4 linked regions of the Struthio camelus genome follow. The protein of the gene in region 4 interacts with the protein of the main gene of each other region in a pairwise test. Links are inferred from orthologs where the notes say so. Each region holds a gene or a part of one and is shown on either strand. Other genes may lie near its edges.

Region 1 (7,284 bases), on a different chromosome or scaffold from region 4:
CAGTGCCAAACTTCATTAAAAAGCACTGCAGCTTACATCTGTCACTGACATCCGGCAACAGTGCCAGCTGCTTACCACTGCTGATCAAGAAAGTCATGTCAGCCCCAAAACATCTCCTGTGTCTCCTGCTAAGCTAGCCGAAGACAATTCTTCAGCATAGCTAGCCATACTGTGTAAAATATTTTGTATCACCAGCTGAACAGATTATTACTGGTAATAGAAACAGAAAGCTGAAATGAGAGAAAACATCTAACCGCAAATAATAAAAGGCTGATGGACAAAAAACTGGAACTGTTCTTCAGCTGCTCTCCATTGTATTGGTGTTTACGGAAGAGATTGTCCAGAACACTAATACTTGTGCTTAGTGCTGTGCTTCACAGCTTCAAAGGTCTAGGCAGAGACAGATCCTCAGTTCCTCAGTGACTAAGTCAATATTGTCCTTGAGTTACAGATGGAAAAAACAGATGGCATTTTCCCTTTTGTATCATTTCAGAAGAACATAGATACACTGGAGCCATTTCCCTACCTGGGCATACTCCTCTTCTGCACTGTACAACCAAGCATGCTTGACTTTCTCCTTCTCTTTAGCCACTTCCATGATCTGCTCAAATGAAGCATTATCTTCACTCGTGTGTTTTGCTAAGAAGCTGTCCAAACTGGGAAGTACATCTTTATCATCTTTTTCTCCTTCTCCTAACAAGAGGAGGGAAGAAGCCTGAGAAAGTGATTAACACTTCCCTTTCTAGAAAGGAGCTATACATAACTCTTAATCCCTTCAGAGCTAGCTTTCTACTGACCCACTAATAATTAATTACAAAGCTTGTGAGAGGAAAAAAGTGTACACACATAATAGTACAATAATAAATTCTTTTTAGAAGATGTATAACTAATTTTCACATAAAACCTTTTATGGCATTTATAGCTATTCATGTTAAAGGAAAAACACAAGAGTGACCAGATGCTAGCAGACATTTTCAGTACCACTATATGGATAGCTTTGTTCCTGGTTTGTTGCTTACTGACAAAATTAATTTCATACAGCAGGAAGAATTTACTGTCTTCAAAGAAATGTTATGACTATGTAAATTCTCAATTCAGTTAGAGATTCACAACTGGGAATTCATACAGCTGTAAAGTATTACGTCCAACTTCAGAGTGATTATTTTCACTACCATAAGGTTAAAGGAGACTCCTTATAAAACCATTACAGGAGACAGAGCTCACAACAGTACTTTCCTGCTGCTGAAGAGTTCAACGAGGAACAACATTCCCTTACCTTCCTCTGCAGCTTTGATGCCAACCTTGGGTTTATTCACGAGCGGAAGACCACCTGGATGCACTTCAGGGGTTTCAAATGTGGCTGGAGTAACATCTGTGACAAAGAAAAAGATTCCCGTGGTTACTGGAGCACAGAGCAGGACATTGCCTGTGACATTTTGCAGCATAGTAAGGATCATGTGCCAAATAAGTCATAGAAGACATATCAAGAGAAGAACTATTGAATTAAAAAGGTGCGAAAAGACTTCAAAACAGTCTATGCAATTCAATTCCAAAACTAACAAGATTTCATTTCCATCTAAGACATTATTTTTCTTCTACTGAAAACAATACAGAACAGCTGCAGTCCTACATATTTGCCATACTGTCTACAGCTTCACCCAAAAAAAGCAGGCAGCAATGTTAATGTGGTAACAACCTTAACCCAGGTCAGTGCCAGCACCTACGATAGGGGAAGGAAAGGAAGCCGCTTGGTGACACATGTCCTTTGCCATGAGAGCGAGCTATACTCCATAGCAAGAACTTACCTAGGCACTGGGCTCTAGCTTCAGAAATATCTGAACATCTTAAAGCAAGTATACAACTGCACACTTGATACTTGCTATGTGAAGCTCTGATAATAATGAACTTTCAACACCCTCTGTCCCCAATATATTACAGTGTTATACCTCTACATATACAGCAAAAATACCTAACATTGTAATAATGATTCAAAAACAGTCTAGAATTTTTGACAGTATAATACTGCAAGTTAGAGCAAGTAACAGCCTCTCAAGAACAAGACTTGGAACAATATGCCTATGGGGAATAGTTATTCTATAGCTGTTTTTCCAAAGAACAATTCCCTCAAGGAATTATTAGACACCATCAAAGTCAAGTTCAGCAGTAGGTACTAAATTACTTGGTGATCAGATACTGGCTACTGCCCAATCTAGTATATTAAACCCCCCACAACGTCAATCTTGATTCTTTAAGATAATCACTGCTTGCACAAAGTTAGATAAAAGGGAACTATAACATTAGCTATAAGCTGTTATGTCTTAAAAAAGAAAACCTAATGAATAAAAAGCTGAGGTCCTAATCTGTTAAGATAACTTTTTCTCCTTCTTGCATAGCCCTTGGCATAAAAGTGACAAAACACAAACTTTTTTGTAGCAAGCCTCTATACTCGTAGCTTGAACGTGAAAACAGCCCCAGCGAGCCAGTTCTTACAGGGTGCGGGGGTGTCCCTTGACGATTTGCCCAAGGAGGAACCAAACTTGATAGCGATTTGTCTCATTTTCTCCAAGTCACCGTTTTCTTCGGCCTCCAGATATTCCTTCTGCGCTCGTAACTTCTCCACATCAGGGAAGAAGTCCCGCTGAATGATTTTCTCTAAGCTCTGCAAACAGACAGACGACTGTAAGCGCAGGACTCCTCGGCCGGGGGGGTCGCGCCCAGCTGCGCAGCGCGGTCAGCCCGGGCCGGGCCGGGCCACGGGGGCCGCGGGTGGCCGGCTCGGGGCCGCCGAGGCTCACCTCGATGTAGGCCTCCTCGTCCAGGATCTTCTTCGGGCGCCTCGGGGCCGGCTGCGCTGCCTCCCGCCCCGCCGCCACGACGGCGCCCTCGGGCCCGGCGGGCACCAGGGCGCGGGACGAGGCCGCCGGAACCGCCGCCGCCGCCTCCATAACGCCGAGCGGGCCACCAACGCCGTGTCCCTCCTCAGCCGCCGTCGCCGACGCAACGCGCCGTGACGCAACACCGCTGCGCGAACGGCAGCCGGGAAGCCCCGCACAAACCGCCCCGCCCCACCCGGGCGAGCGGGAAGGAGGGGAGGGGGGGGGTCATAGAGCGCTGCGCGCGGCTAGAGCGTCGCAGCGGCGCGCGCGCCCCCTGCCGCCAGGGCAGGCCAAGCCCGCCCCGCGCCCTCCTCCGCGGCCCGGCCGGTTCCCATGGCAACGGCGCGGCCTGGCCCCGGGGGCGGCGGGGCCCGGCGGGGAGGGGTCTTCCTTCCCCAGAAGGGCTCGGGCTCGGGCCTGCCGGGGCTCGGGGCCGCCGGCGAGCTGGGGTGCCCGGGGGCGGCGGGGGGGGGGGCGGTTGTGCTTCGGCGGGTCCCCTGCGACGCGAGCCGGGGCTGGCTGGGGGCGGTGGGTCCTGTCGCGGCGGGAAGGGACAGGGCTGGTAAGGGCGGCCGGGCCTCGCCGCGCTCCGTGTTGCACAGCGCGTAGACGTGCGTCGGGGATAGCTTTATTCACCTCGCTCTTTTACAGGACGTGTTTTCTCTTGGGCCGGCCAGGGACACACACACACAAATACGCTAACGAGGAGCTGCACTACCAGTCCGAGCTGCGGCACGGACGAGCCGAGGAGGCGAGCCGAACTCCTGCTCTCGGCAAGAGTTACTTGTTCTCCCCTCAGGCCGTAAGGGAGAAATCCGTGTTTGTTTGCTCAAGGAGCAAATCACCCGGTCAGTGAGCTTCCACATCGACCCCAGTGGCAGCTCTCCATGCCACGTGGTGCTGCAAATCGTGAACATACATTTGCTGAATATTTTGTAAATCTATAGTAGCAAAACAAGCACAAATGCTACCTGCACAGAGCAAAGAAGCTGGGGGAAATCCCCCGTTCTCTTGAAGCACACACATTTAACACTGATGCAGCTCTGCCCCTGCACTGGCTTTTGGCAGCTGCTTCTGCTTAAGCATCTGAGGCTCATGCCTCAGGATTTATTTGCCGCATGAACTACGTTTGGAAGAACTAAGGCTTGAAAGTACACTGTCTGCTTTTACCTGCCCTCCCCCTCTTAGAATCGTGACGATTCCCTTTTGCTTCATTACTTCCCCTCAAGCTACCCCACTGCAGAATCTGATGGCTAAGGGAAAGCGATGCTCTTGGTGTTCACCCGCTGAGATGCAGCCTAACACCACTAACAGTTCTCCTCAGGGGATTTCTTGGTGCCTTGAAGGATGAGAGCTGAAGCAGATGCCCTCTTCTGATGCCGCCACTTGGCTCGTCGATTTTTAAACCAAACCTGAAAAGCAAAGAACAAGAAAGGAAGAATTTCTGCATTTCATTTGCTACTTGGAAGAGGTGAGGCAGTTACCCTCCTGGACTTTACAGGGTGGCACTAAGCTTTAGGATACACCTATGCATTTCCCAATGTAAAATCTCCTGCAAAGTACACTTGATACAAGATCTATCCAGCTGGGACCCCCATGGCAAATACAAAAGTCATGCAGGCCACAGAAAAAAAGAATATACCCTTGGGTGTAGAGTTGTATCAGCAGAATTAGGTGCGTGCGTGCGTGCGTGCGCGCGCGTGTGTGTGTGTGTGTGTGTGTGTGTGTGTATTTATATAGGTATATCTATGAGAAAGTTCATGGGGCCAGGCCACCAAAATAACCCAAGCCAGCAGAACTGTTTTATACTCTTCCATTACATGCCAAATACCCATCTGTGTTTTCTCAAATACCTAAAAGTGGTTTTTAAAATGAGGCCCTGGGTCTGCAGCCCTGAAACAGACAGAACAATGCCCAGGACTCTGTTCTCCTGGGGGTGCTTTCAGCAAACAGAATGGCAAAATACTCATCCTGGCACCTCACCAAATGGCAGGATCTCACCTCCACCCTCTCCTCCTTCAAGTGAATGCGGTTCGCTAAGTGCTCTCTGGTGATGACGTCTGGGTACTGATTCTGATGGAAAAGCGTTTCCAGGGCCTGCAGCTGGTCCTCAGTGAATATGGTGCGATGCCGGCGTGTCCGTCTCTGGATCTGGTGGAAGGTCTGCAGCTCGCTCGGGCTCCCCTGGGGACTCTTACAGGCCCTGACCGCAGAGTGAAACAGCCGCATGGGCCAGGGGAACCTGGCGTCTGCAAAGGAAGAGTTACAGTCAACACCGTTGGGGACAAAGGACTGAAATAAAGATCCTGCTCAAGGCAGTTGAGGTGCAAGCTGGATCCACACGTGTGGCTTCGAAGGAGGTGCAGCTGGCCAGCTGGAGTGGGTGAAAAGCTGCATGATCATGATGCAAGCAAGAGAAAGGCTCACGGCATCACTTCGGGAGAAGCGTGCAGGAAGGAAGTGCTGGCTGCATTTTCCTCATTTACTTAGCAGTCGCAATATGCCCAGCTCCAGAAAATCACTGGAAACCCACAGACCAGGTAGGAAGAGAAGAAATGTCTTTCAGTAATGAAATGGGGGATTTTTGAGCCTTCAGGATGCTCTTGAACCACATTTTTAAGGCTTTGCTACATTTTTTTTGCTAGATGCAGCCAAAAAAATCCTTCCCTTAAATGACAAGTGACGTTCCCCACAGCCAGCATTGTCAAGAAGAGCAGGCACAGCTCTGGCCATTGGCAGCATGACCGTGGGGCCCATGCTCCACAGAGAACTCCCACCCCTAGAAGCATCACCCTCTGTAAGTGTTCTACAATAAAACATCAGTGCCTAGTAACAAATAGCACCTGCAGTTTTTAAAACCCAGTAGCACTGCAGGACTGCCTGTTCTTAGAAGCAGTGCTGAGAACAGGTCCAGCCACCCCTTGCCGGAGCTGAGGTCTAAGAAAACCACCGTGGCAATGTGGTAGGCCAGACACTGTATTTACTATATACCCAGGTTTTCCCTTCTACCCAGTGTTAGCACCAGCTGTAATGCCCCTTCCACTGCCATATGCAGTGAATCCAGCCCAAACACTCACCCAGCCAACTCGGTGAGTCCTGCAGGGAATGGGCGCTCGTGTGAGAACAGCAGCAGCAGTTGCAACCTGCACGTTCCAGCTCTTCCTCCTCCTCCTCCTCGTCCGGCAGGGAGCTGGCTGCGACGGCCTCCAGTTCACACAGCCCCTTGGGTGCACAGTCCAAGAGCCCCTGGAGGCACAGTGGGACCAGGACCTGAGGGCTTTTTTCTGCTGGGCTGGAGAGGATGTTCTCGATGCTGAATGAACACTGCTTCTTCAGGCCTCTCCTACTGAAGTCGACGCCCGACGCCGGCTCCGAAGACATCCTGTGCCAGGCGCAGCGGCCGTGGGAGCGGGCAGCTCAACGCTGAACGGCGCTGGCTCTTGTGAACTAACTGTGGAGTGGGGTCTTACAAGGAAAAAGGCTGCTTACACTCACATAACTTTTAAAGCAGACCAGCGAAGCCATCCAGAATCACCGTTTTGCCTTGGAGCTTGAAGTGACTGTCGTTCTTGCACCCAGGTTTTTATTTTATACACACCCACACATGCACTTTCCGTCTAACCTAGCTGCTTTATGACTGAAGCCATCCTAAATATATATATAGAGAGAGATATAATCCCTTTGGAAAGAAAATCGTAAACCCTTCTGTGAATAAAATAAATTCTAACTAATCTTGGCAGCTTTGTGAAGGGTTAGTGTGGATCTAAGATTTAGCTAATCCCACAGAAATGACTCGAGAAGGAAATCTGATTTCTCCATCTCGGGTGTAGATTTGAGGTGGTTATGATCTCCATTGTGCTGGAGCCTCCAATCCAAGGAAGGGGGAGGATAGCTGTTCCCAGCCCGGAAATGGACCGGAGGATTAACTCCTTAAAAGAAGCAAATTATCCCTTTCTCTGTCCAAATGAAAGCTTTCCCATCAAAAGAGACCTGTCATATCATACAATATAACAGAGAAAGAGAGTTCAGCTTAATGAAAAATCATTTTTAGTGATAGCCTAGCCTTTGGCTGCACGAGAACTCTCTGTGAAAGTTGATGTATTTTCTGCTCAGAGCACAGAAATCGTATTTTCCCTCCTTCCCCTTTCCCCCACCTTCATTGCTTTAATCACAGTAACAATGCAGATGCTTTGCATGTATCTAACATACACTTTGTAAGGATTCAAAGCCCTTAATAAATTAGATTAGTGGCAGCTCACAGCCCCTCTGTGGCACAGATTAGTGGCATATAGTCACCTGCGGTACAGCCACCCACAAGGGCAGCAGATCAGTTGTAGCTCTGCTCAGAGTTACAGCAGAGTTTGGAAGGGGCAAGGATGAGCATTGCCTCTGCGCAAACATAGACAGC
Region 2 (7,819 bases), on a different chromosome or scaffold from region 4:
ATAAAGTTACAGAGCTGGGGGTTGGAAGAGATGGCTTTAAAACCATCCTCCATGCACTGACGTCACATAGAGGCCAGCTGCTAGGATGATGCTAAACGGAACTGTTTTTCAGTTTGCAAAAGTTGTGGAGTTATTCAAAGAGATTTGCAAATGCTGCCCTGTTTGAAAGGTTGTATCTTGTTTAGCTTTCTTTTTCCTTTTAAAGATCAAGATTTGCAGAACTGGATCTCAGCTAGCTATGCATTTCATTGCTTTCACTGCTGTTTAGAAATGGACTGAAAAACTTCTAAAGGATTTCTTACTCTATGAAAGGTATGATTTTGTTTCATTTTAAATTAGTATTTTTGAACAGTTTTAAACTGTTAAGATTTAAAAAACAATGAAAATTACTAATGTGGCAAACAGTTACTTAAACATCTCTCTAATGTTCCTATTTATATGTTATGCAGCATTTAGGTATGTTATGCTTGTTCTTTATTTGTACAGAACTGAACTTGATCAGTTCAGTTAGTTTCTCCAGAGCAGGGACAGATATATTAACCAAATACAGATGATAGGTACCATTTTGAACACTTCAGTCCTTATATTTTTCTTTTTCTCTTCTTCTTTCCTCTTCTCTCTCTTCCTTTCTTTTTCTTTTCCTTCCTTCCTTCTTTCCCTCTTTTTCCTCTTTTCCTTTCTTTCTCTCTTTTCCTCCACCCCCTCCTTCCTTCTTTCCTTCTTTTTTCTTTTTCTTTTTCTTTTTCTTTTTCTTTTTCTTTTTCTTTTTCTTTTTCTTTTTCTTTTTCTTTTTCTTTTTCTTTTTCTTCCTTTTTCTTTTTCTTTTTCTTCCTTTTCCTTTCTCTTTCTCTTTTCCTTTCTCTTTTCCTTTCCCTTTCTTTTTTCCTTTTCCTTTTTTTCCCTTTCCCTTTCTTTTTTCCTTTTCCTTTTTCTTTCCCTTTCCCTTTCTGTTTCCGTTTCCCTTTCCCTTTTTCTCTCTTCTTCCTCTTTTTCTTTCTCTTTTCTTTCTTTCTATCTTTTCTTTCTTTCTTTCTTTTTTCTTTCTTTCTTTTTCTGCCTCTCTCTCTCTTCCTCTCTTTTTTTCTTCCTCTCTCTTTCAAATGTCATTTCTTTTTAGATATAAAGTGCACAATAATGTAACACCTGTCACTCTTTTTTAACTGGGTAAATAAATAAATAATTTTACAATTTCCTTAGTCATCCAAAATGCAGCACCTTGTTAGAAATACAGTTTAATAGCTTTTTTCTAAAATCGGGGGAAGACTTGTATATCCGAATGGTTGTGCACACGCAATCTAATTAATCTGTGTTGAAAAAAAAATCTTCTCTACTGGTAACACTACAGTTTATTTTCAGAATTTCCATACTCCAGTTAGAGAGGTTGATTTCAAACTATTTTGTATTTTTAATATGTAGATAGAAAGGACATAGGTAAGACATAGGGCAATAGTAACATTAACATCAAATACTAGCTTAAAACATTTTTTTGCTTGAGAGGAGGGAGGGCTAGAGGAAGAGTAAAGGGAAAATGCATCTGATGTAGACAAAATTGATTATTTACTTGAAGTTGGTTGCTGTAATGAGTTTCTGACCTTGTCTAGGACATGCAGAAAAAGCCAATACTGGAAGTACACAGATAGTGTTCTGTTCCACACAGAAAATTAAAATCATGCCTGCCTTTTGTTTACATAAAAGGGAAATAGACTTTTAAATAAAAAAGAAGTGGCATTTTGTGTCTTATTGGGTTGTATAAGCCATGTGAGAGGCCCATGAGGACATCCCAGTACTGACTACAGACAGAGGGTATATTACCAGGGCTACAGATTAGATTTTTATTCCTGGTTCCCAAGTAGGAAAAAAATCAGACAGACCCCCCTCCCCCCCATACAAAAAAGGAAAAGAGACACAAAGAGATAGGATTTAACATTCTCCCAGGAATTTATCCAGCGTAGAAAAGAAGCAGAAGTGTATAGTCATCCAGCTGCTAGCATCAGTAAACATGAGTTTCCTTCTCAGTATTTGTGTCAAAAGGAAATCAGAGAAGCGAAAGAGGCAGTACAAGTTTGCTGTGGAGCTTGGAGCTACACATAACTATCAGTATGTAACCTTTTCCAAGACCTTATTGCATTTTGATGGTATCCAATCTATTTCTATAATTAGAGTCCCATATGAAACAGCTTGTAAATTGTTAAGGTGGATGCAAACATGGCAATAATGGTTCCCAGCACTAAGAAACCGTGAGCAGTCTTTTAATGCTGTATGCATGCTGGAAAGGATTACAGATTATATATTTGTTCTGATATGTATATATAAGATTATAATGTATAGTCTTGAGTTTCTCTCCAGTAATACGTATTTATTGCTGCTGATTGAGTCATGCTCATTACTACTAATGGTGTACTGGGTGACTCATGATTTGTACAACTTGTAAGCAGATTTTGCCTGTATCTCTAGTTCATGACTTGACAGTGTTTCCACAGTTTATCTGTTTCTTTCTGACACACATTTGAAAGAATCTGGAGAAGCAGAGTCAATAGAGAAATTATTTTGATATATCTCTCTGAGATGTCTTGAAAAAGTTATAAAGGCATAAATGTAGCAAAAAAAAAAAAAAAAAGCAAATGACTGCACCAAAAGTTACAACCTTTGAAATAGCAAAGTGAGAAAGCATTGAAATGGTTGTAAAGTTCTTTAGCAATAGATGTTTAAATTGCAATAGATTATTAATGCAGCAGGATTTTAGTAAGTTGTTTTTGATCAACACTTAACCAAAATCTTTGGCACAAAGCTGAAACTTTGGTCTGGAGAGGTAAAGTCTCTATAGCCTGGCTGCCTTCCCAAGGAAGCCATGAGCAAACCAGAGTTTGACTTCTCTTATGTTGAGAATGCTGTATTGTCTTTCAGCAGCTCTCTTAGTTTCAGGGAATTTTATGTTTTTGTAAAGCTGCTCTATATGCTTCTAGGCAACTGGAAAAAGAAAAGGTTTGAAATATCTCTGTAAATAGTTCAGGGACAGATTGCCATTTCAGAGTTCTAAGTCAGCTGTGAAGAAAAGTTTGAAGGAGCTAAACTCCAATGCCATGTTACGTGGTGACGTGGTGACCCCACTGTGAAATTGTGAAACAACCTGGCAGAGATATTCAGAACATAATCAGCCCGTTCTCTAAGACCTCAGTCCAAAACTCTTTGGGGTGAACAGTTTTGCTACCACTGAATTTGAATTGGGCCCTTGGTAGCTGTCAGTTGAAACATCCTGTAGCAGGACTTCATATGATGCAAAGACCCAAGCAACCTGTTGGACTTCAGCTGAGCTCTCTGCTTATTTGTTAATGAAAGAAGCCGATTCCAAGTTTGGCATCAGCTCACCAGTCAGCTGAAATAATGCAGACACTGGTAAGCATAGGAGCCACAGCTGAATAAACATGACTTGCCTAATAAAATAGGGGATGAGGAAGAACTTTGCAGGAAGCTCAAGAATGAGTATTCACTATAGCAAAGAAAATATAGAAGATAAAATGAGCAGTTCCTGTGAGCTGGCAAGCACTGACTGTCGGTCAGGGAAGTGAACAAACTCCAGAAGGGTGAACAGGGCTTACCCCTAGTTAACTCTATGATAGTTTGTTTGTCTGCACATACGCTTACTTTCTGGTGGGAGATCAAAGCAGTTCAGATGCATTTTGTGACTAGAACTAGATTCCTTGTCCACCTAAGTAACACAACAGCTTGCTTTGGGAGACAGAGTTAGCAAACTCGAGTATCAGTGTGTATGTACAAGCCGCTACAGAAGCCTACACCACAGAAGCCATTGTAACTGAATGAACGGGTTTTTTGGCCTTGTTAACATAGTAAAAGTGCTGATAATAGTGGAATTTCCATTTTCAAAGCTGAGAAAGCAAGAGGATGACCAGCCCATCAAATCTATAACTGTTTTGCCCCAACGTCAAAAGAACAGATTTCCAGCTATGTTTGAGTTAGTGCAATCAGTGGATAGGTTCTAGTTCTCCCTAAGTTGGTCCTGGAACTAATGTTTCTAGATTTAGATCTGTATATCCAAATTACACTAACACTTTGTAGTGCTCTATGGTTCTTTATATATTAGAATGATGCTTTCTACTGAATGCGTGTTTGTAACATGTAAGTAGCTTTTCTTTCCTGTTTTCCTTCATGTATTCTAAAGCATTCATATAACCATGAGAATTTGCTTCATGTATGAAGCTTATAGTCTTCAATTGCTAGAAGAATGCCATAATCTTTGTCATGCTACATGCGTGCGTGAAAAGATTGCATGAGCAAACACTACAGCTTTACATTTATGGTTGTCTTTTGAACAAAGACAAACGTAGCTTTCACCCTCAGGGGCAGACCTTGCAGGATCGCAAGGTGCTAAAGTGCCATTCGGTGTCATGCAGACTCAAATTTCATTGAAAGCAGGTTTAGTGAAGAGTGATGGCAGATATGTGAAGTGGCCACAGTACGCAGCCTATTGTGGCAGACATTCCTGGATTATATGATGCTGGATGTGCATCGCTCCTTGCCTTTTCAGATTGGGCTTATGTACTCCTAGGTTTGCTTCCCATGATGCTTAGTTCTTCCATATTACAGTCATACTGCAGATATAGATCATGCAATCCTGTGATACTGTCTCTTGCAAAAACATGTGAGTTAATTATTTTGGGGGTAGGGGGGAGGTTGTTGATAGTTTTTTCCTGAAAGCTAAAATCAAATATGAGTAAGACTTATTTTGATAAACTTCCAGGAAACATTCAGGGAAGAAGGAAAAACGCAGAGCTATCTTCTTGCTGTTGCACAAACTGTAGCCATGGACCTACATAAACAACTGGAGAATACTGAAAAGAATTGGAATAAAGAGAAGATGGAATTGCTGGAGAGATTTGACAATGAAAGGAAAGAATGGGAATGTCAATGGAAGGTCATGCAGAAGAAAATAGAAGAGGTACCTTTAGACAAAACTCTGAACACTGACATTTCACTTCAGTCTTGTCAGTGACTAGAATCACTTCTATAGAGTGACTATAGAGACTTCTATGAATTTTTCTGTGAATTATTTCCTATTCCCTATCTGTCACTGGGAGTTTCTAATAGCTGATGGTAGGATACAGAGCCTGGGGTTAAGAAGTATTTGCAACTGCTCATTTAATCATGAATAAGGAGTAGGAGCTTAAATATTACTTTGTGTCAAATTTGCTATAATGTTGGCTGCATATACTGCTGCCAGTTCTTCTGAGCATAAGCCACAGTGCTCATTTATACATGCTTTTTACAAGTAAGGACATGCTGAACAGACCTGGGGTTTAGGAAAACGCATATTTAGTAGCAAAATTTCAATCTAGGTATCATAACATAATTCTCTGGTAAAAAGTAGTTGCTTGGAACAAGTCTGCTGGCATAAAGAGTAATATTAAAAAGAATGTCATACATCAAACACTGTATGATGCAGAATTATTCTGGCAAGATCTACTCCATTTATGGATGACATTTAGCCGAGAAAATGGCTACAGTAAGTATCGTGAAAGCCCTGACACAGCTTGCGTTCACACATAGTAACAAACACTCACTGTCTGCCATTTTTAATGCATCTCTTTCTAGAAATAGTTTAGGCAATTATTCATTATTCTTTTATCCCCAAATTATCACTTCAGCAGAACCCTCTGGCACTCTGTAATGCACAAATTGAATCTTCCTTGGCAATGTATATGGGCAAGTTTCTCATTAGTGAGCCTTCCACATTTTTCATTCTAATATACGCATGAAGTAGTTTTGCTTGCTCACTGCCAACATCATCCTGTGGCTGAGCAGCACAGGAATGTATGGCAGAGATTGCTCACGTGAAAATATGAGAAGGAAAATGATCAGCGCCAAATGAATTGCAGCCATACACTGCCCTCAGCCTGCAGCATAACTCCATAATGTCAGCTTTCTTATATATTGCCAGCAGTTCTTTTGGACTTTGGTATGATAGTCATGGCCACATTCTGCCTTTTTGTGTTATGTCATTTCTGTGCTGTCTTACTTAATTTTACCACCAAGGTGAGAATGCTTCAAAAGTTAGTGATGTGATCTGTGTATGCAGTTGAATATCATTTTGTTTGGTTTATAAGTCGTTCTGGAATGAAGGTAGTGTGTTGTGATAAGGTATTCTGATGTGATAGCATTATTAGAAGTCCTCATAACAACAGCAAAGACCATGTGTGTTCCATATGTTTTCATTAGCCTGTGGGTTAGGAAAGCATGACAGGGTGAAAAAGTGATAAAAAGTAGGAGTGGAGGGCAAGAGAATGAATGAAGCAAATACCTGGGTGGTACAGGACCAGACAAAACTACAGAAGATGTTCTGAGGCTATTGATATCTAAGGTTACTTTTTAAGCTGTTTTTTAAGCTGCCCTTGATTTCAGTTTCCTGCAATTTCTTTCCAAAAGGCACATGGCTGAAGAAGAGAAGAGATATCTTATAAATACCGTCATCTGCATATATCAACTCTTTCTACCCACACCCAATGTTACTGAGTGAAGCATCGTTCAAAAAAGATAAATATGTTCTTTCATCATAAAGGTCATCGGAGTATCATGATTTAACAGAGCATTTTACTCTTTTTCAGCTTTACCAGGAGGTAAAACTTAGACGGGAGAACAATATGAACGTATACGATAATAAGGACATTCATAGCAAGATGCTGCAGCTGTCCATGTGTTCCCCTGCTTCGGAAGAGAGTGACGCAGCCGAACTGAATTATCAATACAAGGTAGCAAATGACAGGATGGAAAAAGAGAATTTGCTCAGTAAAACAGGACAAGACTGTAAAGAAACCAGAGCCAAGAGGAAAAGCAATGATCCGTTAAGGGACAATCTGGCCTTTGAGAACCATGAGGAACCTGAAGATAGCGTCAGCATCAAAGCTCCCAAGAAAAATGCCAAGAATTACATTGGTGATCTCAATGTAGTAAGTAAAGTATTAGCATGTTTCAGTTAGAAGGGTGAGGAAAACAGTGAGGCCTTTGGCCTGCCAGACCTAAAGAACTGATCTCCCTGATTTTAGCTTCCCAGCAAGGGACTGCTACTCCCTCCTCTACTTCTTTCTCACTTTGCTATTGATGAGTTTCTTATCACTGATTAAATGTGTTAACAGCATGTTCTTTACCTCAGTTCATAACTTGGGGGCATTTTCCTCACTTTCATTGTGCTACTTTGCTCTGCTCTGATTCTTATATGTAAATCACCACAAGTTTCAAAATAATTCTGGAGGTACCATTTAAGAACGCTTATGTTAAATAAATATTTTTATATTTATAAAGGCTCTTAAAGAACTTGCCAGAGTTAGTGAAGAATTATGCAGCTATCAAGAGGAAATTCGAAAGAAGTCCAACCACAGAAGGTAAAAACATTGTTTGACCTCTTTATGTTAGAGAAAGAAAATGAATGAGACTTACTGTGCTTCTATTCATTTTGAAGGGGGAGGGTGCTGTTGAAATATTAGGATCTGGGTAGGTTCCATCCTCTGAGTGTTTCAGTGCTCAGAGTAAAACGTTCAAATGACATATGCTGAAATGTAACTCAAGGCCATGTTTTACTTGAAAAATAAAGTTTATCTATAGAAACTACAAAATGACATTAGAATTTATATGAGATTAAATTGTACCTCTTTCCAATGGCTACACAGGGGGATTAGGAGAGTGAAAAGATTTTTCTGGCTGTCCCTATCTCATTTCCATGCAATTTTATACAACATTACATGGGTATGTTAGGATGGGATGCTTCTTTGTGTTAAGACCAGATCCAGCCCTAAATGTCAGGGACTGAGAG
Region 3 (7,676 bases), on a different chromosome or scaffold from region 4:
CAGCACAGCCAGGCCACATGGATGTTATGCTAGCAGCCACAGAAGAAGAAACGTGCTGCTAATTGAAACCTTTCCATCTTTCTGACTCACAGAAGGCCTTGCCCCTCGCCCTGTGCCGGACTAAGGCGCCACGCGCAACCGCAGGAAGAATAAAAGGCGCCACGCACCTGCCCCCAAGTTACAGCCCTTCCCAACAGAAAGGAGCCAGGTGCACATTGCACACACACAGACCCACCAACACACACATATACAAGGTATTTCCCACCCAGGCCACATTCCTGACACTTCTCCCCTGAAATGGCCGTTGAGGGTTTGCAAGAAAGCCCTGACGACCAGTGTGCAGGCGGCAAGCATGTGGCTGCAGCTGACAGTATGGCCACTTATCACGTATCACCTCCTTTACACCCTGGCTCCTCCGGACCCCCACTTCACCCCTACCCCAATCTAATCCAGAGCCAGACAACTTTGGAAACACGGTGAGACCTGCAGAGGTAGCGTGTAATGCCTGCCCACTCACCTGGGTCCCAGGCTGAACCAGGTAGCAGCGCCCGAGCAGGGAGGAGGGCATCCAGGGTGACCCAGCGCAAGGAGGGGACATTCAGGATGTGCCCTGGCCCCCCACCGCCTGGGGGGGGCGGGTAATGGGAAGGATGCCAGGGTTACGGCGAGCCAGGAAAGAGATGACTGCACTGCAGTTGGCAGCCGCTATAGGTGACCCCGAGGTCGTCGCAATCAAGCGGAGGCGGTGCAGGTGCCTTGCCCGACCGGGCGCTGCTGGCTCTCCCCAGGGCGCACAGTGCAGCAGGCACTCCCCAGCTGCACCCCGCACCCTGCCCCACTCCCGGGCGGACCGGGCCAGCACCCGATTCACGCGCTAATGGAAGAATAGGAGAAAAAAGTGAAAACTCTTCAGTTTAACTTGTCAAAAGGGCAGAGCACAGAGAGGCCACAGAGCCTCCAGGCTGGGCGCTAAAGGAAAGGATATATCTATGCGATGCAAAGTGGCTGTATTGAGCAGGAACATCACTGCAAGGCTGCGTTTATTTATAAGGGGAAATCATTCACAGCCTCCATTCCCCGGAGAGCCAGCCCCCCTTGGTGTGCCTCCGGCTTGCATGCCTTATCTGGGGTAAGACGGAGAAGCGAGGCTGGTAGGGGCAAGACGGAGCAGCACGCTTTACCTTAAGTCTCCAGCACATTCCCAGGCTGCAGCCGAGGAGGTGGGAAACTCTTGGGCAAAGGTTTCGGAAGATCCCGGGGAGACAATGAAAGCGCACGGGGCTGCAGGAGGGGAGCCTGGAGTGAGGGGTCCGCCGGGGCCGGGGGGAGCCCGTGTCCGAGGCGGGGCCGGGCCGGGCCGGGCGCGCTGCGCTTTGTTCGGCCGCCGGCGCCGTCCCGGGCGGCGGCACCGGAGGGGGCCCGGGCCGCCCCCGCCCCCGCCCACCCGGCATGTGCAGCTCTCCGCCGGCGGGAAGGAAAACGCAGGAAACTCATCGCCATCACTTACAAAGGGAAACAATTTCTAGGGTTCTTCCTTCCCCTCCCCCCCCGCAAGCTCAGGCAAGTGAGAGAGTTGACGGGTCTGGCGTGGGCCGGACGGGCTCTTCCTACAGCATCATCGTGCCAGGAAAGGGGCGGGGTGGGGGGGAGGCCGTGCCTACTCGGCCTGCCGTGCCGAAAGTCACCCGCGGAGCCGGCCCCGGCCGCCGCGGCACGGTGACCCCCCCCCCACCCCGACAAGCCGCAGCGGGGCTCTGCAGCGGGGCTTGCCCGACGTGCGGAGCCCCGGCCCCCGGCGCGCCCTCAGCCCCTCGTACCTGCCCGTTGTCGTGGCCCTGCAGCAGCTCCTTCCCCATGGGGTAGCGGATCTCCACGCCCGGGGTCTTGTCCTCCCGGTCGCCCGGGGAGCTGATCACGGAGCCGGAGACCTCGCTGATGTCGCTGGCGGTCTCGCTGTAATTGTCCCCTCCGTCCAGCATGTCGTGCCGGCTGCCGCTCCGCGGGGTCCGGGACCCCTTCTTCCCCACGCTGTAGGCGTCGAAGTCGATGGTTTTGTTCTCGTAGGCCCCCTCCACAGAGGCGAACATCCCCCCGTATTTCTGCCGCGGCGTCTGGGCTGTCGTACCCGGCCTAGCTAGATACACGGGCAGGTCATCTTCTTTATTCCAGTTCCTCTTTCTCTCGGCCATTCTCGCTGTCCAGATCTCTCCCGCCCTCCCACTCTCTCTCTCTCTCTCTCTCTTTCTGCCTCCCGCTTCTCTGCACCTTCCACTACTGGGATAGGCTGCTTGAGACCATAAAAATGAATGGATGGATGCAGCAGTGGCGGAGCTGGGTTGGCTGGTGGGATCTTTCCCTTAGGGAGATGCAAACGTTAACCTCCCTCCCCCCATCCAGCCCCTGCAAGAAAAAAAAAATAAAAGAAAGAAAGGAAGAAAGAAAGAAAAAGAAATAAATCCAAGCGGAATTTAAAAATAGCCGTGTTAGTAAAGAGCACGTGAAAATAAAGTACAAAGAGAGGAGAGGAGAGGGTGGCAGTAGCAGGTGATTGGAAAGCCCTTGACGAATGGGAAGAGCAGCAGCAATTCCCAGAGCAAGGACCGCAGTGCACACGCTCCCCCGGTATAAAGAATGAGCCGGGGGGCGGGAGGGAGGGGAGGGGGGAGCCCCTCGCCTGCACACGCAGCCGGCGCGCAGGGTCCTTCTTGGCGGGCCCTCCGGACAGACCGCCCGTCACCTGCTGCTACGTGGCTTCGGAGGAATTTTTAAAAAAGGAAAAAAAAGAAAAAAAAAAAGAAGAAGAAAGACACCCAAATCTCCCCCCGAGCGAGCCGAATGGAGTTGCTCCCACTTCGCACACTCACGCTACCCCCCCGCTCCCTCCGCAGGAGCAGGCTGCGGCGGTGCCGCCGGCGGCGGGGGGGCACAGCCCGCGGGGAGGGAGGTGGGAGGACGCAGGGGCCCCGGGGGCCGCCCCAGGCCGTCAGCGGCCGCCGCGGGAGCCTCGGCGATGGGCGCAGAGCGGGGCGGGGCGAGGAAGCACAGCCAGACCCAGGCCCCGGGGCAGGGGGAGCTGGCGCTGCCCTCTCCCTGCCGTGCGTGCCGAGCCGCGGCAGCTGGTGCCCGGGGGCTGGGGGGGGGGGGGGACCGACCCCGCTGCGCCCGGCTGCCACCAACCGCTGTGCTTGCCCCCCCCTCCCGCCGCGGCGGCGCTGCGAGGGCGCCCGGGGGCGGCTGCGAGACTGCAGCGCGCCGCGGAGGCAGCAGGCACCGCGGAGGCGGCCAGCCCTGACACGGAAGTGGTAACGCCGGCCGCTGCCTGCGCGGCCAACCCTGCCGCCGCCACCGCCACCGCCACCGCCACCGCGCGTCGGCTCCGCGGCCCGCACTGCCCCCAGCCCGCGGAGCCCGGCGCGCCCCCGCGGAGCCCCCGCGGAGCCCGCGGCGGCGGCGGGAGCGCGGCGCCCCCCGCGGAGCTGTCCGTTCAGCACCCCCGAGGCGCCGGGCGGGCGGCGCTGCGGCGGCCGCGCTGCCCCGCGCCGGAGCGGCGGAGAGGGTCGCTCCCGGGTACGCGCAGCCCCGGCCGGGAGCTCACGCTGCCTCTCGCCGGGGCTCGTTTCAGTAAACCGGAGCTAACCGGCGAAATTTGACTCAGAGGACTTTCTGACTTCAGAAACGCCGATTCCCAAAATAAAGGCAGGAGGAATGGAGAAGGTTTTACTCTCAACTCTTCGCACAGCCCACTTCAGAAGGTCTATCTTTACATCTCTGCTTGTCTTATAATGCTAGGTGCCTAAGGCGGTCATCCCCTGAAGCCACAAAATCTTGGACATCCCTCTCCCCTTTCTCACCCCTCCTATTCCCCCCTCCCCCCCCCCGCCATCTTAGACAATTTTGACAGGCCCTGAACACACCAGCAGTTACATAGGGAACATTCTCTGTTGCTCTGAAATAATACATTGAAACAAACTGTTCTGCAATTGATTAAGTGGCTAAGCGTATCTGAAGCCTTGGATCAATCACAAGAACTGTTTACTGCTCATGTGTAACACTCTCATGTCGTTTGAACACAAGCCCAGCCACACAGCACTATTATCTGCAGCCCACAGGTGTGCCTGGTGGTCCTAGCATGAGAAAAATGGCAAGTTATAAATGGATTAGGAGAAGCGGGAGGTTAAAGAAACAGGTTGTCAGGATTTCATGGGAAGGATGTCCAGATAAGCATCTTTCTCATTTACAATTACCCATGCAGTAAAACCATGCCATAAGCAGTGATATAACATCCCTGAACTTTGCTGTAACACATCAGAGGACAATATCTTTCTCTCCTGAGCTTTTTGTAATGCAGTGGTATTTCCTGTCTTGATGTCCTTGAACACTGGTATGTCATTTACACGAGGGGAGTTAGAGAATTAGTCAGAAGTTCACTGATCATTGATTATTAATACTCAGATTTTAATAGTCTCAGCATCATGACTGACATTTCTGAACATATATACATTTTCACAGCTTACTTAATAAACCTTGCTACTGTATTAACATATGGTAACAATGCTAACACAGAATGTGTTAACATGTTATAATCATATGAAAATTGTATTGGTATGTGAAAAAATAAGTATAGTTCCTAGGACATCACTTTCCTAAATACTTCTTGTATATAGGCAAATATTGTTTCCTTTTCCTTAATGATAACACTGAGATTTATTGATCATATTGGAAAAAAAAAGATCAGTTTGTTCCTCCACAGGATAACAAACCCTGATAGTGAGATATGCAGGCAGTACATGTAATTTCATTTATAGTACATGTAATTTCATTTATGTCTTCTTAAGTATTGGGGAAATTATTCATTTTACTGGGTTTCTCTCTCTAATCAAGCGATGAATTAGAACCTCCAGAAAAAAATATTTCTGATGATCCCATAATAGGTGCCATACTACATGGTGCGTGTGTCTGATAAAGAATTCAGAGCTGAATAGCATCTTTTCTTTAACATCTATAAAGCCAAGAAAGATGGACTCTATTTACACTCTGGATCTGATTATATAGCACTGCTCAGTTTTCTAGAACTGCTCACTTTTTTGAAGTAACAAAGAAAAAAAAATTCAGCATTAGCTAGCGTATTCTTCTTAGTGATAATACATAAAGAGACCACAAGACTCAGAACACGTCTAATCATTGCTTTAGAAAACAGCATTAAACTTTCAAGTGAGAAATAACAGCATAAAATTCTATGAGAATCTTCCTTTCCTCTTAAACGGAAATTCTTCATATTATAACCCTTAGTTTATTAAGAACTGTGTTCTAACTGGACAGATGCATACTGTTCTGCTGACTAAGAGATGAAATTGTAGCTTTAGCTGCCACAGAGGCAGACATAGCTACAGCCTCATACACTGTCTTCCTGCAACCCTGCAAGTTTATCTAAAAAATGCATGTGGGACTCTGGAGAAATATACTGTCTCGGTATAGTCTGCTGCAGACCCTGCTTCTCATCCTGTCTTGGCATAACTTGGTGAAAAAGGAACAGAACTTGGTCAAAAGTGTCCCCTCTTCCTATAGAATCTTTAGTCTTTACACCTATATGGGATCAATGATAAATAAATCATATTCAGAGCAGGCTAGATGAGAGACAGTGGAAAACCTGGAGACATGCTTGCTTCATTCCACAAAAACTTTCAACAAAAGTCTTTCGAAAAAATCATCATTTACCAGCTTGCTGGTTATATCCAGCACTCTCCTTGCAGCAGTGCAAATGCCATGAGCTAGAACAAAACTTCCCCGGTGCAGGGGCAAATCCTGCCACAGTGCTCCTAGTACATGCAATTTTGCACCTATTTTTGCTAAGTTGTATCGCACATTTTACAACAGAATCATCAGACAGAAAGTGTGAAAGTCCAGAGGGAGTCAGAATAAGACAGCGACTGGGATCCAAGTTTTCTTTCTCCCAGATGAGCAACCTGAGTTGCAAACTCACAGGGTCAGACTCCCTCTCTCTGCTCTAAAGGACTATTGTATTCCTGGCTGCTGTGTCCTCCTCCTCCTCCTCCCCCCCCCGCAAAATCCCATCTTATAGTTTGGTGGTTTGGGCTGTGTCCTGACATGTAGGAACCGTGGGTCCAAAACCCCATTGGCTGAGGAAGACTCAGGTTTCCCACTTCTTGAACAAGTGATCTCCCCAAGCTTTTCTGATAATTTGTATTAATTATGATAATTCAGCAAAAGCTCAATGACAGCACCCCCACCAAGAGAAGCAAGAGCTCAGACACAACCATTGCCTTACCCTCACTAGTAGCAGACCAATTAGCTAGCGCTTGGTGGCCCCTTCCTCAGAACAGAGACTTTCTGGGTCGGTGTCCAGGCATACAGTTTCTCTTGACTCGACCACGTAAGGAAATGTAGGTATCTAAGGTTGGTGTCCCATACAGTCTTGCTAGTACCAGATTTCTAGGTTTCAAAGAGCATAACTCTCAAATTAATGATCCACAATAACTAACCTGAATCTTGCCCCTTGACATTATACCAATGTATTTTGAACTAAAATTAGATCCAGTCATGTAAAACCAGCTCATGTTTTGCAAAATTCTGTGACATTTCCTGCGATACTTCAGCCCTGTGTTTCACTTTACATCACAACACACAAAGGAAAATGCACCTGATGCTCTGCATTTGTTCCCAAATGTACAAACGTGCCACCTTTCACGATTCCCCACTTAATATGAGTTGCATTTACAACTATATTTCACAATCTCCACCACTATTTTAGAGTTAAAAATAATTAAAATTATAAAGTTTTTAATTTAAAATATGCATACATTTAATATACAAAATTATACAAATTATACATTTAACTAACATAGAAAAATACATCTTGTTAACAAGATAGAATGTCAACTTATCTTACATAATTTAAGTGAGAGTTACAAATCTGTGATAATCATCAAGTAGACTTTGTGACTGCATTACAGTTCTGTATGCTCCCTAGTTACACTGAAAATTAATACATATGTACATTTGATATCTGTGACAAGTATCTTAAAGTGAAAGTCGTTGCTGAAAAGTTAACCATAAGGTTTTAATGGACTAGCTCAAGAGTGGCATCTTTCATATTACTGAAACATTATCAGTTATCTTCTCTACCTTGACACCCAGTTGCAGGGCAGTCATGGGTAAGAGTTGAAACTTTTTGCACTTATTTACAAAAACAAAACAAAACAAAACAAAACCCAGCTGGTTCATCTAATTAATAAGTATCAAACCATAAACCCCAAGCATTTTGTGCGCTCTTTGGCACTTCTTCAGATGGATCCCACTTTATGACCCTAACAACTGCTCTTCGTGACTTCTGGCTAGCATCACACTGTTGGCTGTTCGAAAGAACTAAATAGCTGCGCAGCACTAGAGCTCAAAAGCCAAGACCTGCACATATTATACATCCCAGATTTTTCATTAATACCAAAGGAGGTGAGGAAATATCTTTTTTCCAGTCAAACAAATGTGTGTAGTAAGTCTTATTTACATGATTACTTTTTCAAAGTTCCAAACAAAAGAGAGAAGCTTAATTTATAAACAAGTTACAAAAATCTGTTCCATGCTGAGTCTTGTCTTGCATATTGTGAGGCATGGAATGATTTTCTTTTAATTATTTACATGTTCTTTAAAACTAGTTTCTT
Region 4 (6,934 bases):
AAATTTAACCTCACTTACCAAAGACAGTACTTCTATTTAAATAGATGTAGTTTTTAAAATCTGCATGTTTAGCCTACCCTCTTATGATAAGTTAGATATTACTATTGTTCAAATTAAACACACTATAATACACTAGTTCAGACATACACAGATTTAGTGTAATATATCCACAAATATTTGCAATTTTTACATATTCTGTACCTTAGAGGTGAAACGGATATAGCTGGCCTAGCTGTACTGCACATACAGATCTGCTGGTGGCTGAGGTTCTGAATGACCACCCCCCCCCTTAAAGCATAAGCATTAACTGGATAATAAATGTTGTAGAATACGTATAAAACCAAGTTCATTAAGGCCTTGAGTCTAAGTCTACAAAAAAGTAGAATCAGTTTGAGATGGAGATAGCCATGCCTTGAAGTGGAACAATTGAGCATGCAAGATCTTTTAAGCCAGCCACCTTAAGTCAAAGGATCCTCCAGCTGAATTCAGCAAAGAATCTGACTAGATTAGATTCTCTAAAGTAAAGTTCAGTGCAGAAACATATGACCTTTGCACACGTTTAAATTGGCTTAGCATTCAAAAAAATCAGAAGCTTAAATTAAGGCTTGAATTTAATTCATACCTTGAATTCTTCTTTTTCAAACTTCTGTTCCCAGAATACTAACAGAGACTTTAAATTCCCAGACTTTAAATGACAGTTGCTGTCTTAATTTCTACATGTTATCTCATTAAGACATCTGTTCTCCTTTAGAGAATATAAGCATACTGCAGTTGAAAACCTTGCCCAAGAAAATATTGACAATCAAGTGATGACTTCTCGAATGGCGACATCTACTAATGTATATGAACAGCTTTGTGACCAAGTCAGATCTGAGCCCAGCTGTCTGTAGATAGAGGCGGTCACTTTCAGCTGGGAAGAATTCTAGCAATGCTGTTTCACACCAGCAGGTTTAGGGATGAGATCTTGTTTTGAGAAGGCGCATTCCTAAATATCTCCTAGTCCAAACAAGGCTTAAGCCAAACTGAAAGCTATTTTTGCACAAATGAAAACCTGAGCTTAGAGCTTTTTCAACACTGTTGGAAGAGTTAGTTCTACTTATCATGTAGCTTTTAGCTGATCTGGATAACATGGTAGCTTCCTACCGAGACTAAACTGCTTTCCTGTGTTAACAACTTTGTTTGCATAGGATTAAATTCTACATTCTTAAACCGATAAGAAGAGAAAAACTTGACTGCTGTGACCTCACCAAGGGACAAATGGTCTACTTATCAGCAGACATCAACACCAATACAAAAGAGTTTAACTTTAAAACTTTTCTAGTAGCGCTATGAAGTGATTCATAAAAAAAGGAATTCTGTTTTGTATAAGGCCTAGACCATATACATGACAGACACTTTTCTCTAGAAATATGCTTACATCATTACGCATTTAGTAAGAATGCAGCCCACTGCACCCTCCCCTCGGACACAAAGAGTTCTATTATTTCAATCTGCTGCCACCACACTTGCCATAATGCCTGTATCTGCATTCCACGGTGAATCCCATAGAAACCATTAATACCCTTCAGCCAAGCGAACAGATGGCTCCCCTTTCACTTTTATTGGATCAGAAAGTGATTCCACATCGGAGCCCTTTTGTAAAATAGGCTAGACTTGGATAAAGCAAGACAATAGTTTTTACCCTCCCCCTTGGACTGTGGCATCAACCTAAAGAAAACAAGGAGATTGTGCATGAGAACCGATGGAATTCCTTTGTGCAAGGGAAGCACAACTCCAAGTCCCACTCTCCCATCCCAGCCGCTACCTCAGGACTTTCTCTCCCATACAGCGGTTCGGGAACGGCAGCTGCTTATTTCGAGCGCGCTTAAAATACAGGCGGCTGCCTTGTTTGTTGGGTGCCCCGGGGGAGCGCGAGTATTGCAAGTCACCGGCGGCGGCAAGGCGGCCGCGGCCGGGACGGGCCCGCCGCTGCCGCTAGGCGGCCCCCTCCCCCGCCGCCCCCACGGGCCGGCCGGTCGGGGCGGTGACCAACCTGTCGGAAGGTCTGCAGGGTGTTCTCGGCCTCCTCCCGCTGCAGCATCTCCTCCTGCAACCTGCGAGCGGAGAGAAGCCGGTGAGGAGGGCGCAGCGCGGCCCCCACCCGCCCGAGAGCCCCCCGCCCCCGGCCGCTCCACTCCGCACCGCCCGCGCGGCGCGGGGGCTGCGGCACCGCCCCGGCCCGCCCGGGGGCAGCCGGGACGGCGGCGCGAGGCCGGGCCGCGCCCGACCCGCTCCCCTCGGCCCGAGGGGCGGCCGCCGCCGCCCCCCTCCTCCTCCTCCTCCCCCCGCCCTACACACTCACTTCTCCCTCAGCCGCATGATGTCGTCGGCGAGGTTGTCCCGCTCCACCTCCACCCGGGCCTTGTCGTTGGTGAGCTGGTCGACCTGCCGGCGCAGCTCCCGCATCTCCTCCTCGTAGAGGTCGCCCAGGCGGGACGTGCCCTTGCCCTTGAGCTGCTCCAGCTCGGCCAGCAGGATCTTGTTCTGCTGCTCCAGGAAGCGCACCTTGTCGATGTAGTTGGCAAAGCGGTCGTTGAGCTCCTGCAGCTCCACCTTCTCGTTGGTGCGGTTCGCCTTGAACTCCGTGTTGATGGCGTCCGCCAGCGAGAAGTCCACGGCGTCGTGGAGCCGCATGGGCGGCATGCTGCTCCGCAGCCGCACCGACGTCGCCTTGGTGGCGTACATGCCGCCGGGCGAGGCGGACACGTAGCGAGCGCTGCTGGGGCGCAGGGCGCTGCCCAGCGAGTAGCGGGTGCTGGAGGTGATGTAGCGGGTGCCGGTGCTGGGGCGGCTGCCCCCGCCGAACATCCGGCGGTACGAGGAGTTCTTGGTGGTGATGCTCATGGCGGCGGCGCGGGCTTTGTAATCCGGGAGCGGAGGAGGGCGGCTCAGCTGCGCGGCGGCGAGAGGCGAGCGAAGAAGAGCGGGGGGCGCCGCCCCAGGCCCTACTTATGGGGCGCCGCGCCCCCTGCCGGGCCCGCCCCGCCCGCCGCCCGCCACCAATGGCCGCGCCGCCCGCCACCGCCTCGCCCCGCGGGGAGGGGGAGGGGGAGGGGAGAGGGAGGGGGAGCGGGCGGGGCCGGGGCGGGGGGCGCGGGGGTTTGCAGCCAGCCCGGCCCGGCCAGGACACAAAGGCTGGCGCGAGGCGTGACTCAGGGCCCCGCGGGAAGGGGCCGGGCGGGATGCGGCGGCGGCAGGGGGCTGAGGGACGCCGGCGAGGGGAAAAAGTAACGGCCGGCCGCTCTCCCCCTCCCCGCAGGCAGCCCGCGGCATCTCTCCCCCGCTGCCGACTGAGTCCCCAGGGCCGGCAAACCTCCCCCCGCCTCGAGTCCCGGTGGGACCGCGGCCGTCCCCGCGGGCGGCGGCTGTGGGGCGGCGGCCGCTGAGGCGGGAGCGGGCGGGGGGCGGGAGCGGCCGTTGAGGCGGAGGCAGCGGGCGGGGGCGGCCGTTGAGGCGGGGGGAGCGGCCGTTGAGGCAGCGGGCGGGGGCGGCCGCTGAGGCGGGGGGTCCGGGGCGTAGCGGGGACCCGGCGCCGGGGCCGCCCCGCCGCGCAGCCGCCGGGGCTCCCCCGCCTCAGCGGCCGCGCCGCCGGCACGGCCCGCGCTCCGCCGCCCTGCGAAGGAAGAGGCGGCGGCGGCGCCGGCCCCGCGCTGCGCGCCCGCGGGGGTCGGCGCGCGAAGCAACATCGCTGGCGGGGCGGCAAGGCGCGTTGAGCTAACCCTTGAGTTTGGTGCGCTCCTGCGCTGACTGAGCGCCGTGACTTGCAAGGAAGGTTGCCAGTTTTAAGGTTAAGCCACAGCCAAAATACTTCAAATAGCACAGCACAGGAGGATTATTAAACAAAAAAAAACAAAACAGTATAATCTATCTGCTGGAGAACTTCTTTTTTTCTTTTCTTTCTTAGCTTTCTGAAACAATGCAATCAGGGCAAAGTGTTATTAACTATTCACAAAGGGCTGCCAAATGTCCAAAATAAACAGGCAGGGAAATAAATTGCCTGTGTCTCCTTTTGTCATTAGCTGCCTCCTGTCACAGCAATCTCAGCTTCTGCCCCGGTGTTAGTTCAACGCCTCTGTTCAACACACGTTCCCAGGCTATACGCCTTTTCCCTTTATCTGGGTGAGCGTTTACATGGCTTAGTGAAGAGGCACACTGAATTCTGTCATTATTTTAACATTGGTCCCAGGCCATAAGTAATTGTTTAGCATACGTTTTTGGAATAGCTGCAATGAAGATCTTGCTCCTGCTCTTGGATGCAACCCTTCTCATAACTAGGAGAGAGGCAGGCTTGAATTTAACCAAGGTTTGGGTCTGCGAGTGTTGTACCCAACAGACGCTGGCATTGATTTCAGTAGGCACAAGATCAGAATCTTAGGAAAGCACCCAGTGAAATGACAAGTATTTGTTAGTCACGATCTGGAAGTATCCTCTGTCTGTGGCTTCAGATAAAAATCCCAGGGATTCAAGAGCAATTTTACTATCAAAATGGGGCTACCAGTAACAGAGAAGAATGATATAGGAAGTACAGGGCAATAGCAATATTGCATGAAATTTGGCAGTAAAAAAACTCCTTAAGATTGATTTCTGTATGAATGTAGAGAGATCCATAATGTAGTACTTCAGCATCTATGGGATGCAAAACTACCATTAATTTTTAATTGTTTTTAACTTGAGGTCCTGCAGAAGCAAATATACTTACTGGAAGTTCTGATAAACCTGAACATGAACACAGGGCACAGAGGAAGGTAATTTTCGCATCCCAACTCACAGTCAAGTCAGCCTGCATTCGTCAGATATTGTACCTCATGAGGAGGAATCGGAGCACAAAGGATTTTTTGAGGATTTTTTTAAAATTTTTTTGGTATTGGAGATTGTGCTTTAGTTTGATTCTGAATGGCGACCAGAAGTTACAGGAACGTAGTTTGTAGCTAAACGTAGGTCTGTGAGGTTTTAATTTGCTATTGTTCACTGAAGCTTAGTCAAGCAAACGAAGCTGACAAGGTTGAGCTACTGAAGTGCTTGCAGCATGAGTCCTGGTCTACAGCTCATTTCATTCAGTCCTTGAATAGGAGGCAGAGGTCACACAGCATTCCTGGGGCTGACTGTACCGCCATCCCAGCCCGGCCTCTGCCGGGCTCTCCAGCCCTCTGAGAGCTCTTTATTTAAGCCATCAAGTCTGAGCTATAAGCCTTTGTGAATCCTGGCACAAAAGTACACACTCCTTGTATGAGCAGGCAAAAAAGTAAAGCAGCACATACCAAACAGCCTCATAGATTAAAGATGCTTTACTCAGAAGTGCTGGGAGTTTTAAGAGATGGTTGTTTTTTTAAAGGTGCACTATTCCCATTCAACCCTCTGTTCTTCCTAACAGAAGATAGTTTATTTGTACTCCACAAAATCTCTTTATGGCGCATACATGCAGCAGTCATCCTTCACTCAGAAACTGCTTTGCCCCTAAAACTCAGGGAGGTGTTTGTTTTAGCAAATACATTTACCCCTTTCCTCCATGTTTCAAGTGTAATTTCCATATGTTATGTCACTTCTGCCATATGTACTCTTGGCCACCTGCCTCATTGCTGTTTCTCACTATCAAATTTTCCTAGAAGTGTTATGATACTGTCAATTGCCAGGATTACAATAAACCTGTAAGTGCCTTTTGCTGGTCGGCACTTACATAGATACCTAAGTAGAGTAAGCTCTACATTTCCTGTAAGGCTGTAATAAACGTAACCCACATTTGCATCCCAAACCCCAAAGGGGAACTAGAACTGCTGTCTTCTTGAAGTGCAAAAAGATATCTACAGAACTGGTCAGGAAATAATGTATCTAAGTGTAACCATAGAAATCTTGCAGAGTGTAGTTGTTTGAACTGAAACCACAGTACTCTGCCTAATTTTAAGGAAAGTGCTATGGGATTTTCAAAGAGCATGGCTGGTCAGGAGGCTGACTACTACTTATGCAAAGGATACACAGCTAATAGCACATCACTGAACACCACACTGAGGATTATTCATGAACTAGTCCATTAGTAAGGGATCATCTGCACTGTTTCTTGTTATGCCTTCATTTGTAATTCCAGTACTCCGACAGGCTGCTCCTTCAGCTTGCTGTACTGCTCTCACCTGCATTTCTGTAGAGGCAGATCAGAGCTAAGCCACTGGCACACTTAAGAAAAGAAACAGAGATTTTTAATATGAGCCTTTCAGTTCCCACAGCTAATTTATTTTGGTATTTTCTGCCTTTTCACCAGGGAATTGATGCATTGATTCACAGCCAAGACTGAAATAAGGAATAAGGCTGAATAAGTGTCACAAAAAATATTGGATTGCTGTGTAACTCTCATTAACAGTGAATAACGGGTGTGAACAGGGAGAAGGTACAGATGCCTAAACTGCTTTGGTATCTGTTCTACTAAAATTGGGAAAGTCTCATGCAACCCAAAATTTTTCTGACTTTCTTGAACAACTATGTGTAGGTCTGAACACATTTCCAAAAATAATGGCATTCATATTTTTTGATTTGCCATTTTATTTAAGCAGTAGGAAACTAGAGTAAGTTAGCCCAGACACTGAATGTGCTTTTCCATTACTACAGACTTCTGCTAAACAAAAAGATTTGAATACTTTCATTAATCAGATTTGTGCCCTTTAATAAAGCTTCTACTTTAAAACATGAAATGCTCATTTTTTCCACGATGTATAAAATGAGCCATAAATATTAAGCATCCAGGAAAAATATCCTGCTATGCAAATGCAATCACTTTTGTTGTCAGTACGATAAAGCAACCTTAAATCCTTTTCAGAGGATGGACTGGAATGCATTGCGCTATGGAGACATTTCTTCACATTTCCCATGGCCCCATGAATACTGAGTAAACTCCAAGCAAAATGGACCA

What was found.
Region 1: the proteins of VIM (region 4) and ESS2 interact in a two-hybrid assay, tested with the Homo sapiens proteins (2 studies listed by BioGRID and IntAct). The link is inferred for Struthio camelus from reciprocal best matches to the Homo sapiens genes VIM and ESS2.
Region 2: the proteins of VIM (region 4) and KIAA0408 interact in binary tests that used the Homo sapiens proteins (3 or more experiments, as listed by UniProt). The link is inferred for Struthio camelus from reciprocal best matches to the Homo sapiens genes VIM and KIAA0408.
Region 3: the proteins of VIM (region 4) and CRMP1 interact in binary tests that used the Homo sapiens proteins (3 or more experiments, as listed by UniProt). The link is inferred for Struthio camelus from reciprocal best matches to the Homo sapiens genes VIM and CRMP1.

The regions. Positions count from the first base shown.
Region 1 is NC_090958.1:9,799,934-9,807,217, forward strand, and holds the start of ESS2 (splicing factor ESS-2 homolog), read right to left. Parts: upstream 3,012-7,284; 5' UTR 2,946-3,011; coding exon 2,796-2,945; intron 2,660-2,795; coding exon 2,491-2,659; intron 1,373-2,490; coding exon 1,277-1,372; intron 694-1,276; coding exon 527-693; intron 1-526. Other genes in the region: GSC2 (homeobox protein goosecoid-2), read right to left, coding at 4,184-4,288, 4,878-5,125, 5,954-6,257. UniProt on the Homo sapiens protein: May be involved in pre-mRNA splicing.
Region 2 is NC_090944.1:69,373,791-69,381,609, reverse strand, and holds the start of KIAA0408 (uncharacterized protein KIAA0408 homolog), read left to right. Parts: upstream 1-4,819; coding exon 4,820-4,954; intron 4,955-6,617; coding exon 6,618-6,959; intron 6,960-7,311; coding exon 7,312-7,391; intron 7,392-7,819.
Region 3 is NC_090945.1:73,512,371-73,520,046, forward strand, and holds the start of CRMP1 (dihydropyrimidinase-related protein 1), read right to left. Parts: upstream 3,007-7,676; 5' UTR 2,190-3,006; coding exon 1,818-2,189; intron 1,215-1,817; exon of another isoform or gene 1,200-1,214; coding exon of another isoform or gene 1,182-1,199; intron 584-1,181; exon of another isoform or gene 569-583; coding exon of another isoform or gene 518-568; intron 1-517.
Region 4 is NC_090943.1:23,968,581-23,975,514, forward strand, and holds the start of VIM (vimentin), read right to left. Parts: upstream 3,019-6,934; 5' UTR 2,884-3,018; coding exon 2,342-2,883; intron 2,094-2,341; coding exon 2,033-2,093; intron 1-2,032. UniProt on the Homo sapiens protein: Vimentins are class-III intermediate filaments found in various non-epithelial cells, especially mesenchymal cells. Vimentin is attached to the nucleus, endoplasmic reticulum, and mitochondria, either laterally or terminally.